2 linked regions of the Daphnia pulex genome follow. The protein of the gene in region 1 interacts with the protein of each later gene in a biochemical or structural test. Links are inferred from orthologs where the notes say so. Each region holds a gene or a part of one and is shown in the gene's direction. Other genes may lie near its edges.

What was found.
Region 2: the proteins of baculoviral IAP repeat-containing protein 7-like (region 1) and cdc42 homolog form a complex in vitro, tested with the Homo sapiens proteins (2 studies listed by BioGRID, with this or other methods). The link is inferred for Daphnia pulex from reciprocal best matches to the Homo sapiens genes BIRC2 and CDC42.

What each region holds. Positions count from the first base shown.
Region 1 is NC_060023.1:3,932,867-3,937,216, forward strand, and holds baculoviral IAP repeat-containing protein 7-like, read left to right. Parts: upstream 1-1,304; 5' UTR 1,305-1,379; coding exon 1,380-1,617; intron 1,618-1,675; coding exon 1,676-1,837; intron 1,838-1,898; coding exon 1,899-2,096; intron 2,097-2,153; coding exon 2,154-2,592; intron 2,593-2,661; coding exon 2,662-3,158; intron 3,159-3,231; coding exon 3,232-3,296; 3' UTR 3,297-3,530; downstream 3,531-4,350. Other genes in the region: loricrin-like, read right to left, coding at 206-287, 347-355; uncharacterized protein LOC124198279, read left to right, coding at 3,950-4,037, 4,132-4,271. UniProt on the Homo sapiens protein: Multi-functional protein which regulates not only caspases and apoptosis, but also modulates inflammatory signaling and immunity, mitogenic kinase signaling, and cell proliferation, as well as cell invasion and metastasis.
Region 2 is NC_060017.1:3,183,658-3,187,528, reverse strand, and holds cdc42 homolog, read left to right. Parts: upstream 1-1,627; 5' UTR 1,628-1,782; intron 1,783-1,986; 5' UTR 1,987-2,005; coding exon 2,006-2,110; intron 2,111-2,172; coding exon 2,173-2,245; intron 2,246-2,326; coding exon 2,327-2,436; intron 2,437-2,495; coding exon 2,496-2,693; intron 2,694-2,765; coding exon 2,766-2,855; 3' UTR 2,856-3,319; downstream 3,320-3,871. Other genes in the region: nucleolar pre-ribosomal-associated protein 1-like, read right to left, coding at 98-625, 695-916, 990-1,019. UniProt on the Homo sapiens protein: Plasma membrane-associated small GTPase which cycles between an active GTP-bound and an inactive GDP-bound state. In active state binds to a variety of effector proteins to regulate cellular responses. Involved in epithelial cell polarization processes.

The sequences.
Region 1 (4,350 bases):
ACAAGCTGTAGCATGGAAAATTTTACCTTGATCAAATAATTATGCAATTTACCTATTTAAATAAGAGTCAAAACTCCTTAACTACAACGGGACAGCCAAGAGTTTATGACTACTGAAATTGAGTTATGTTGCACACAAGTGGTATAAATTTAGGCACTAACAGTAACTTTTGAGCGACGACAAGAATAGCTATAAAATGATTTACCTGAAGAGCCCTTATTTAGGAAGAATGCATCCGTCTGGCTGATGGCAATGACTGCCATGAGAAGGCAATTGCACAGTAAAACCTGGAAATATCTTAATGTTATGTAACTAAAATTTGATAACAAGTATATTAGTTGCCTACCTTCTTCATTGCTACTACTTGAGAAGAAATACTAGATGTGTTCAAGTCTTCAGCTCAGTTCAGCGTCTGCTTTCAGTCATAAATCTTTTCTCCTTATATACGTCTTCACCAGGTCTTCGCCACTAATGACCACACTGCCTGAAATCTTTCTATTGGTCTTTCTTTCTTTTTTTCTGCGTGTTTGAAACTTCATGACAGTAAAGAATTGGAGGGTGAGAGAGAGCGCGACGATGCGCTTGTTGACTGAGGCTCAATAAGTAAGTGGAGTAGGGCCTTCTTCGATTCAAAAAAGGGCAACAAAAACCTAAGATCGCACTTTTCGGTCCTTTGCTGCGGCACAATCACATCAACAGCGGCAAAAGCAATGAGATTTTAAGGCATTAAACACTTTCGCTTTTTCAATTGTCCGCCTTCGAATGGGGTGTAGTAAGGACATTTCGATTTCTCTTTTTTATGCGCGTTCATGATGAAATGAGAATTCTCATCTTCAACACGACAAACAATTATTTCGACATTCAGTTCGTCGTTTGTTTGTTTGAAAGTCGGCGTCTCCCTCCGAAATGGTTTAATAAATTTGAGTTTGAAGTGAATAGATCATCAACATTCACTGTAAATAGATGCGAGAATCAACCGTTTGTGTCCGAATCAAAATAAATAGTCCATTCAAAATTTAAGCCGTTATCATTGTTTGTTTCTATTGTTTCTTGATGAGAATACGACCGTCAAAAAATTTGACAGACTGCTCATTTCGTCCAACTTTTATTATCATTGAAAAGCTTATCAGGTCATGCTTTCATATTTTATTCAAATTTTCTAGTTTTTTCTGTAATCTTCTTTTTTTAATCATTTATAAGAAAAAACTTAAGAAACTAACAAAACTAACAAAACTTAAAACTAACATTTATAAAACAAAGTTTTATTTTTCTTAAAAACAGAATATCCAAAGTCCAAATACTTGGCAACGTCACATTGCTCTGTTTTGACACAATGGTGTCAGTATTACTGACGTCGTGTCTGTTTTTCTTTTTTCATCATGCCTCAAGAATGGATAACCCTTAGACGAGAAGATATTCGTTTGCGAACTTTTAACGAACACTTCTCTGCCACATTTTTAAGCCCCCTCTTACTTGCTAAAGCCGGTTTCTTCTATGTGGGAGTTGACGATCAAGTTCAATGCGCGTTCTGCAGAGGAGTGGTTAGAGATTGGGAAATAAATGACGACCCAAGAAGAGAGCATCAACGTTTGTTTCCGTCGTGCGCTTTCATATTAGGTTGGTCTGTTAAATTCGGAAATTGCAATATGACATTAATTTGTGGTCCGTTGGTTAGGTTTACCAGTAGGTAATATACCTTTGGGTGAAAATCCATCCACTGTACATCTGAATGTAGAACGAACTGCTTCTCTACCTGTACCTCAGCAGTTGAACATAGGATTTGGAGCTACCAGGCAGTTTACTTCACAATTTAGACCAAATGCCTCACCAGACACTGGTATGACAACCACTAATTACTTCATTATCTATTTGGTTTACAATACAATTTTGTTTCATAGAATTGAGATCTCCAGACAGTATGCAATTGAATGCATTAGTAGGAGAAAATTTGGAAGAGTTGGGCATAACTAAACATAGCGGACCTCGGTATTCCTCATATGCTACTTTGGATGCACGACTTAAAAGTTATAATAACTGGCCTTCCCACCTGAAGCAAACTCCAAGAGCAATGGCTCTATCTGGTTTCTTCCATCTTGGTACAAATAGCACAAAAAATTCTGGTTTTATTTTGTTAATTTAATTTATGGATTTAGGGACCAACGATCATGTCAATTGTTTTCATTGTGGATCGGGCTTAAGAAACTGGGAACCAGAAGACGACCCATGGCTTGAACACGCTCGATGGTTCCCTCAGTGTCGCTTTGTTATGCTGATGAAAGGAGAACAGTACATTAAAGAAGCGACAGAATCCATGTCCAATCATCCTAAAGCCAAGCCTTCCCTGTCGGCATCAGTGGGAAATTCACGTGCCTCACCAAGAGAGGCTTCAGAAGCTGATCTGCGAAGTTTACTAGGAACTCCCATAGTTCAGACTGTTCTAGCAATGGGCGTTGACCTTTCTCGTGTTAGGCAGGCCCTAAAATACCAAATTCGTACTACTGGGCAGCCTTTCAACACAGTTGATTCGCTTCTTGAGGCAGCTATTGAAATTCAGCATCACAGCGAGCATCGCCAGTCGTTGGAAGATGGCAAGTAAGTCTTTTGCGTGTTCACTTCTCAACTCGAATTAGACATTTCATTGATTCCTTTCACCCTTCTTAGCTATGAAGATGTGGACTGGCCGTCAGCTGTACCTTCCTCTTCTCGTCGACGTGTAACATCAACTGGATATACCCTTGTAGAACTTCCCGTTTCTCTAAGTACACCGAGCGATGAACATAGAACAAATACCAATGAGAACGTACCAATTGTACCATTGGTTTCGGAAGTAAGATCTGAAACCCCGCTTTCGCATCGGGAAATGGATACTCTTAGTAAGCCAGAAAATCCTGAAAAAATAAAAGAACAAAGTTGTGCCCTAGAGGTATCAGCTTCATGTGAAACATCCACACAATCCGTCGATAGAAGTAATGTATTAATTTTCAGACATTTTGAAATAATTAATTTGACCAACATTTTATTTGTTGTAGCCCAAATTTTGGAAGAGGAGATTCGTCGCCTGAAAGAAGCTCGTCTCTGCAAAGTATGTCTTGACGAGGAAGTGTCAATTGCATATATTCCTTGTGGACACATTGTGACTTGTGTCCAATGCGCGGCAGGTAAACTACAATATTTTGATCAAATAATGTTACTAAAATTTTAGCGTTTTAATAAATTTTTTTTTTTTTTTAGCTCTCGAACACTGTCCTCTTTGTCGAAAAAATATTAAAGGAACAGTCCGCATCTTCTTGTCTTAAGTAGTTCATTTGGATTCGTCTAAATGAATTGGCGATCGCAAAGACGAACTATAGATATTTTCTGAAGTACAGTTCTAAGTTCTGGAACAACTTAGTACTTGTAAATTTAAAAAATTCCACTGTTAATAAGTATTTAGTATGGATTTTTGTTTATTATTTAAATTCTTGCAAATGTTCTTGCAAACCCACCGGCTTTAGTTTAAAAAATAAACGGAAAGTTATTCAAATCTCAAATAACTCAAGTTCGAAATATTTCAGTGATAGCAAGAAGCTTCTGGTATTCGATGGCCACTTCAACCGTGAAACCGTGAAGGTCTCTTTTCAACCGAAACAGGAAGTTGAATGTTAAAGGTGCGAGTGCGTGTATGGCCAATAGTCAAGTCTTGCGTGTTCACCAAGCATCACGTCCTAGAGTAAGGTCTGTAACATAATTTCAGAACAAAACAAACATTTTAAAAAAAGTTAAGATTCGCAATAACAAAGAACGCGTTCGTTTCGCTGTGTGCATTGCCAGTAGACAAAAACAAGCCTTCATTCCTAAATATCTTATCGATGTGATTAGGCCTACTGTCTCTAACTGTTGAGTGTAACCCACTTGTTAATTTGATATGCGTAGCCACTAACGAATAACGGTATTTGATTTCCAGCAGGCAATGTGTTCTCCCAAGGCGGCGGTTTTCTTCATCCTCCTTGTTCATTCGATCAGGTCGGACAGTCATGGTGACCTCGAAAAATCAAATAGTAAGTTCCTCATTCGTGCATGTACTTACTTCTCTATTATCAAGATGAAATCAGGATGCCATTTGTAATTATATGATATTCATGAACGAATCAGGATTTAAAAGAATCGTTCTCGGCAATGGATCAGCAATTCTTCCTCCTCGGCCATTACCCATTGGAAACTTGTCTAGCAATCATGGAGAGGCAGATTGCTACTTTGTTGGCACTCATTTCTATTGTATTAGTCAATTCCTGGTACTATATAGCCTATAATGAATGAATGAGTGGGATCCTACCGGATGAAAGTTTTAAAGACTTAAAATTTTTAACAAGT
Region 2 (3,871 bases), on another chromosome or scaffold:
GGGATGAGACTTCAACGAGCTGTCGCATCAATTTAACATTCAGCATGCAGGGAGGGGTAACAAACCGGACGGTCTTCAAATCCTTCTCCTGAGCTGCTTAAATGATGCTTTTGGATTCGTGAATGTGTGAAGCGACGGAGCATAATACTCGGGCGTATTTGTTAAACGTAGCATAGTTTGGCTCAGCTTCATAGAGTACATGCCACAAATTGACCATCAACTGCATTAGCTCACACATGATCCAGGGAGCAATAACTTGTTGCTGCATAGGAAGTAAATTCCAAATAGGTTTTCTGCTACTGATTTTAGCATTCTGCATCTTGGGTTTGTTAGTGGTTTTGTCGGCGGTATCTTCGTCTTCGGCTTCCATCATTTCGACCTCCTGTTCAAGTTTTGCAATAGCTTCTTCGTCGTCCTTTTCTTTCGACTCTCCCTTCTTCAGCATGTGAGTGTAGAGCGTGTCCCACATTGTCGTCACCACCGACACCATCTGACTAGCTTCATCTGCAACGGTGTCGGTCAGCAAGAGGCTGTCAAGCCACATGATAAGGCCACGATGTTGAATCAAGTCATAGGTAATGATTGAATTCTGAAGTGAAGATTGTACGACTTCAAGTATGAGCCGCTGTAAATCAAACAAAGAAAAATGTCTCGATGAAATCTCAAACTAAAATTCAATTACTAAAAAAATAACCTTATCAGTTTTGTCGGACAATAGATTGGATGGCTGCAAGGAGAGAAGGATTGGAAAGACTCTTCTTCGAGCACACACTAAATAGTCCTGACGACTTTTGATGCCATCTTGAAGAAGGCTGAGTAAAAAACTCCTTTGAAGCGACCTCTGTTCAGGTAGTTCAGTGTTATGAAGCATGACGAAAAATTCTGGAACTTGGGTAACATCCATAGCCGATTTTACCTAGAAACAATGAAAGGAATGGCGTTTAAGTTTTAAACGAGAAGGAAATTGCAATCAATTAACAGGAACATACCAGTAGAAAGTTATTGATTGCACGGTACATTGGGTGAGAAGGATCTTGAACGATGGCTGCAGCTTTGGCAAGAAATAATGCAATGATTGGACAGCTTTGGTGGTTTTAACATTTAACAGAAAATTTTGGTTTCCAGGGCATTGCTCCAGCATTAAGAGTCCACCGTTTGTAAGGATGGAACACGTTCAAAATTTCAATCCCTGTTTGAAAGTCACTTTCGTTAAAATGACGGGAGCAAATATGTGAGGTGCTCGTCAAATTACTACATGGAATTACTTCTTGCCATTTTGATAATGAAGTTTTAGGAATTGCAAACAGGGTAACCTCATTTTCTTTTTGATTTCCTTTGTAATATGTTGATTTACAACCAGGAACAGCACACCTGCCAACCATTTTTACATAAATTATGGTTAGGCTTCTTTCACGTAATACACAAAAATGGCCGCCGAAAGTATTATTTGAAACTCAACGTCTTATCACTAGATGGCTCTTTTTAAAGTTTCCACTTCACAACTTCTGACAGGCTCCGCCCTAAAACCCCCTGAAAATCGGCTTACGTTTACCCTGAAACCGGGATAGGGAAGCCAACACAGCCATGAACTGACCAGGTATCTATAGCTCTGCTTGCGGTTGAAGCGGTGGCGTCCTGAAATATTTTCTGACAAGTGGCAACGTTGCACCAGGGACGTTCACGCCTTGATATTCTCCAAGTGTCACTTCCACAACCGCTTTTTTTTGGATATTAAATATTTTTCAGCAAATTGTGCTGATACTACATTTCAAGATATTGATCGTAAGTGAATAAAGTGATTTGAGGTTCTATTCATTGACCGGTTTAAACCAAAGTCTTACTCCACTTTTATGTGTGTGTTTTCGCCCAGCGTCCTATCTATCAAAATGGCTGTCGAATAGTTTCGTTTCGCCCGCTTATCTCGTTGTGATCTGCTAATTTTGTGTAAGCCATTTCATTAATGTTATCTATTCCCTTTCATTTTAGAGTCTGACAGGAAGGAGCAATGCAGACCATCAAGTGTGTTGTTGTGGGGGATGGTGCAGTGGGTAAAACTTGTCTTCTGATTTCTTACACCACCAACAAGTTCCCGTCAGAATATGTTCCAACAGTAAGCTATCATGTGATACTCTCTCAAGATGTTATTTCTAACAGCTATTTGACATTTTTTAGGTATTTGACAATTATGCTGTCACTGTTATGATTGGAGGTGAACCTTACACTCTTGGGTTGTTTGATACAGCAGGTGTGAATTCCTTTCTACTTCATTTATATATATTTTTTTTCATTGTTACTTAACAATATTTCCTTAATTTTATGACAACAGGTCAAGAAGATTATGACAGATTAAGACCACTTAGTTATCCACAGACTGATGTGTTCTTGGTGTGTTTTTCTGTTGTCTCACCGTCGTCATTTGAAAATGTCAAAGAAAAGGTTAATATTAGTAGCTCAATCATTAAAAAACTGCAAACTAATGCACTCCTGTTTTGTAGTGGGTTCCTGAAATTACACACCACTGTCAGAAGACACCTTTCTTGTTAGTTGGAACGCAGATCGATCTGCGAGACGACGCGGCAACTGTAGAGAAGTTGGCAAAAAATAAGCAAAGAGTGATCACTATCGACCAGGGAGAGAAGCTAGCTCGCGAACTGAAAGCAGTGAAATACGTGGAGTGCTCTGCCCTCACTCAGGTAAGTCGAGCAAATTCTGTTTCTCCATAGTCGCAAATAGGTAACATGGTTGTTGGATTATGTCTCTCGCAGAAAGGGTTGAAGAACGTCTTTGACGAAGCCATTTTGGCAGCACTGGAACCTCCTGAGCCTATCAAAAAGAGGAGGTGTAATATTCTGTGAGCAAGACAAATTGACAGCAAAACAGGCAAAATAAAATTTCCTTTATATAAAATAAGGAGAGCTAAAAAAAAACACTCTTAAATGACACCTTGCTACTAACCAATGGAATTATTCAACGAGAAGATGGAAAAGCAAAATACTGATGATACGTTCTTTTTGCCAGTTCTTGCATTAACCAGTTTCAACGTGTCATTATCGTTTCGATTATTTTGTGTGTGCGTGCGCGTGTTTCGCAGGCCATTTGCCGCGCTCTTCCAATCTTCTTTTCATTCATCCTCTACCTTCTCGATCTAGGAAATAACACATACCTGTTCTGTTGCTCTCCTTCCTTTCTCCTCTCTTTCTTTGTTCATAAAAAAAGAAGTAAGCATAACAAAAGAACTTTGGCCTCATCATTGTAATCCTCATCGCAAAACTTGTCTGTATGGCATAGGAGAGAATATACAATAAAATTTTCTCTTATACCTTGCAGTTATTAATGCTGGTCAGTTCAGAATTGTCGCTACATTGGACGATTGCGTCGTCGCAATGTTATGGCTAATCTGCTACTATTTTTATTAATATAAGTAAAACATTTGATTGAATTTGACTTTTGACGCTTAGGATCGCTGGAACAGATGTGAAAGTAAGATTGCGTATGGCACTTGCGCATATCATACATTGATAAATAGTTTTGCCGGTTGGTTAGCAACTCATTTGCTCATTGACGTCATTTATTTGTGTATCAGCAGTTTTTAATCTACTACAAACGAAAAACGAGTTCAATTTTAAAAGTCCTGGTTGGTATGAACTAATATAGAACTTTATCACATGTTTTTGATAAGCTGTCGTTCAGCGACAGCGAAATGAATTTTTTTTTAACTACTCTCCCCAAAGGTTTTTATTTTTACTGTATATTACAACTTAAGTAAATTTTTTTCAATAACCGGCTGAATTTTTATGCAAATTCTTCTCGGAATTTATAAAGACATCGGAAAATCCGTTGAAAATAATTGTGATTTATATTTATTTAGCAA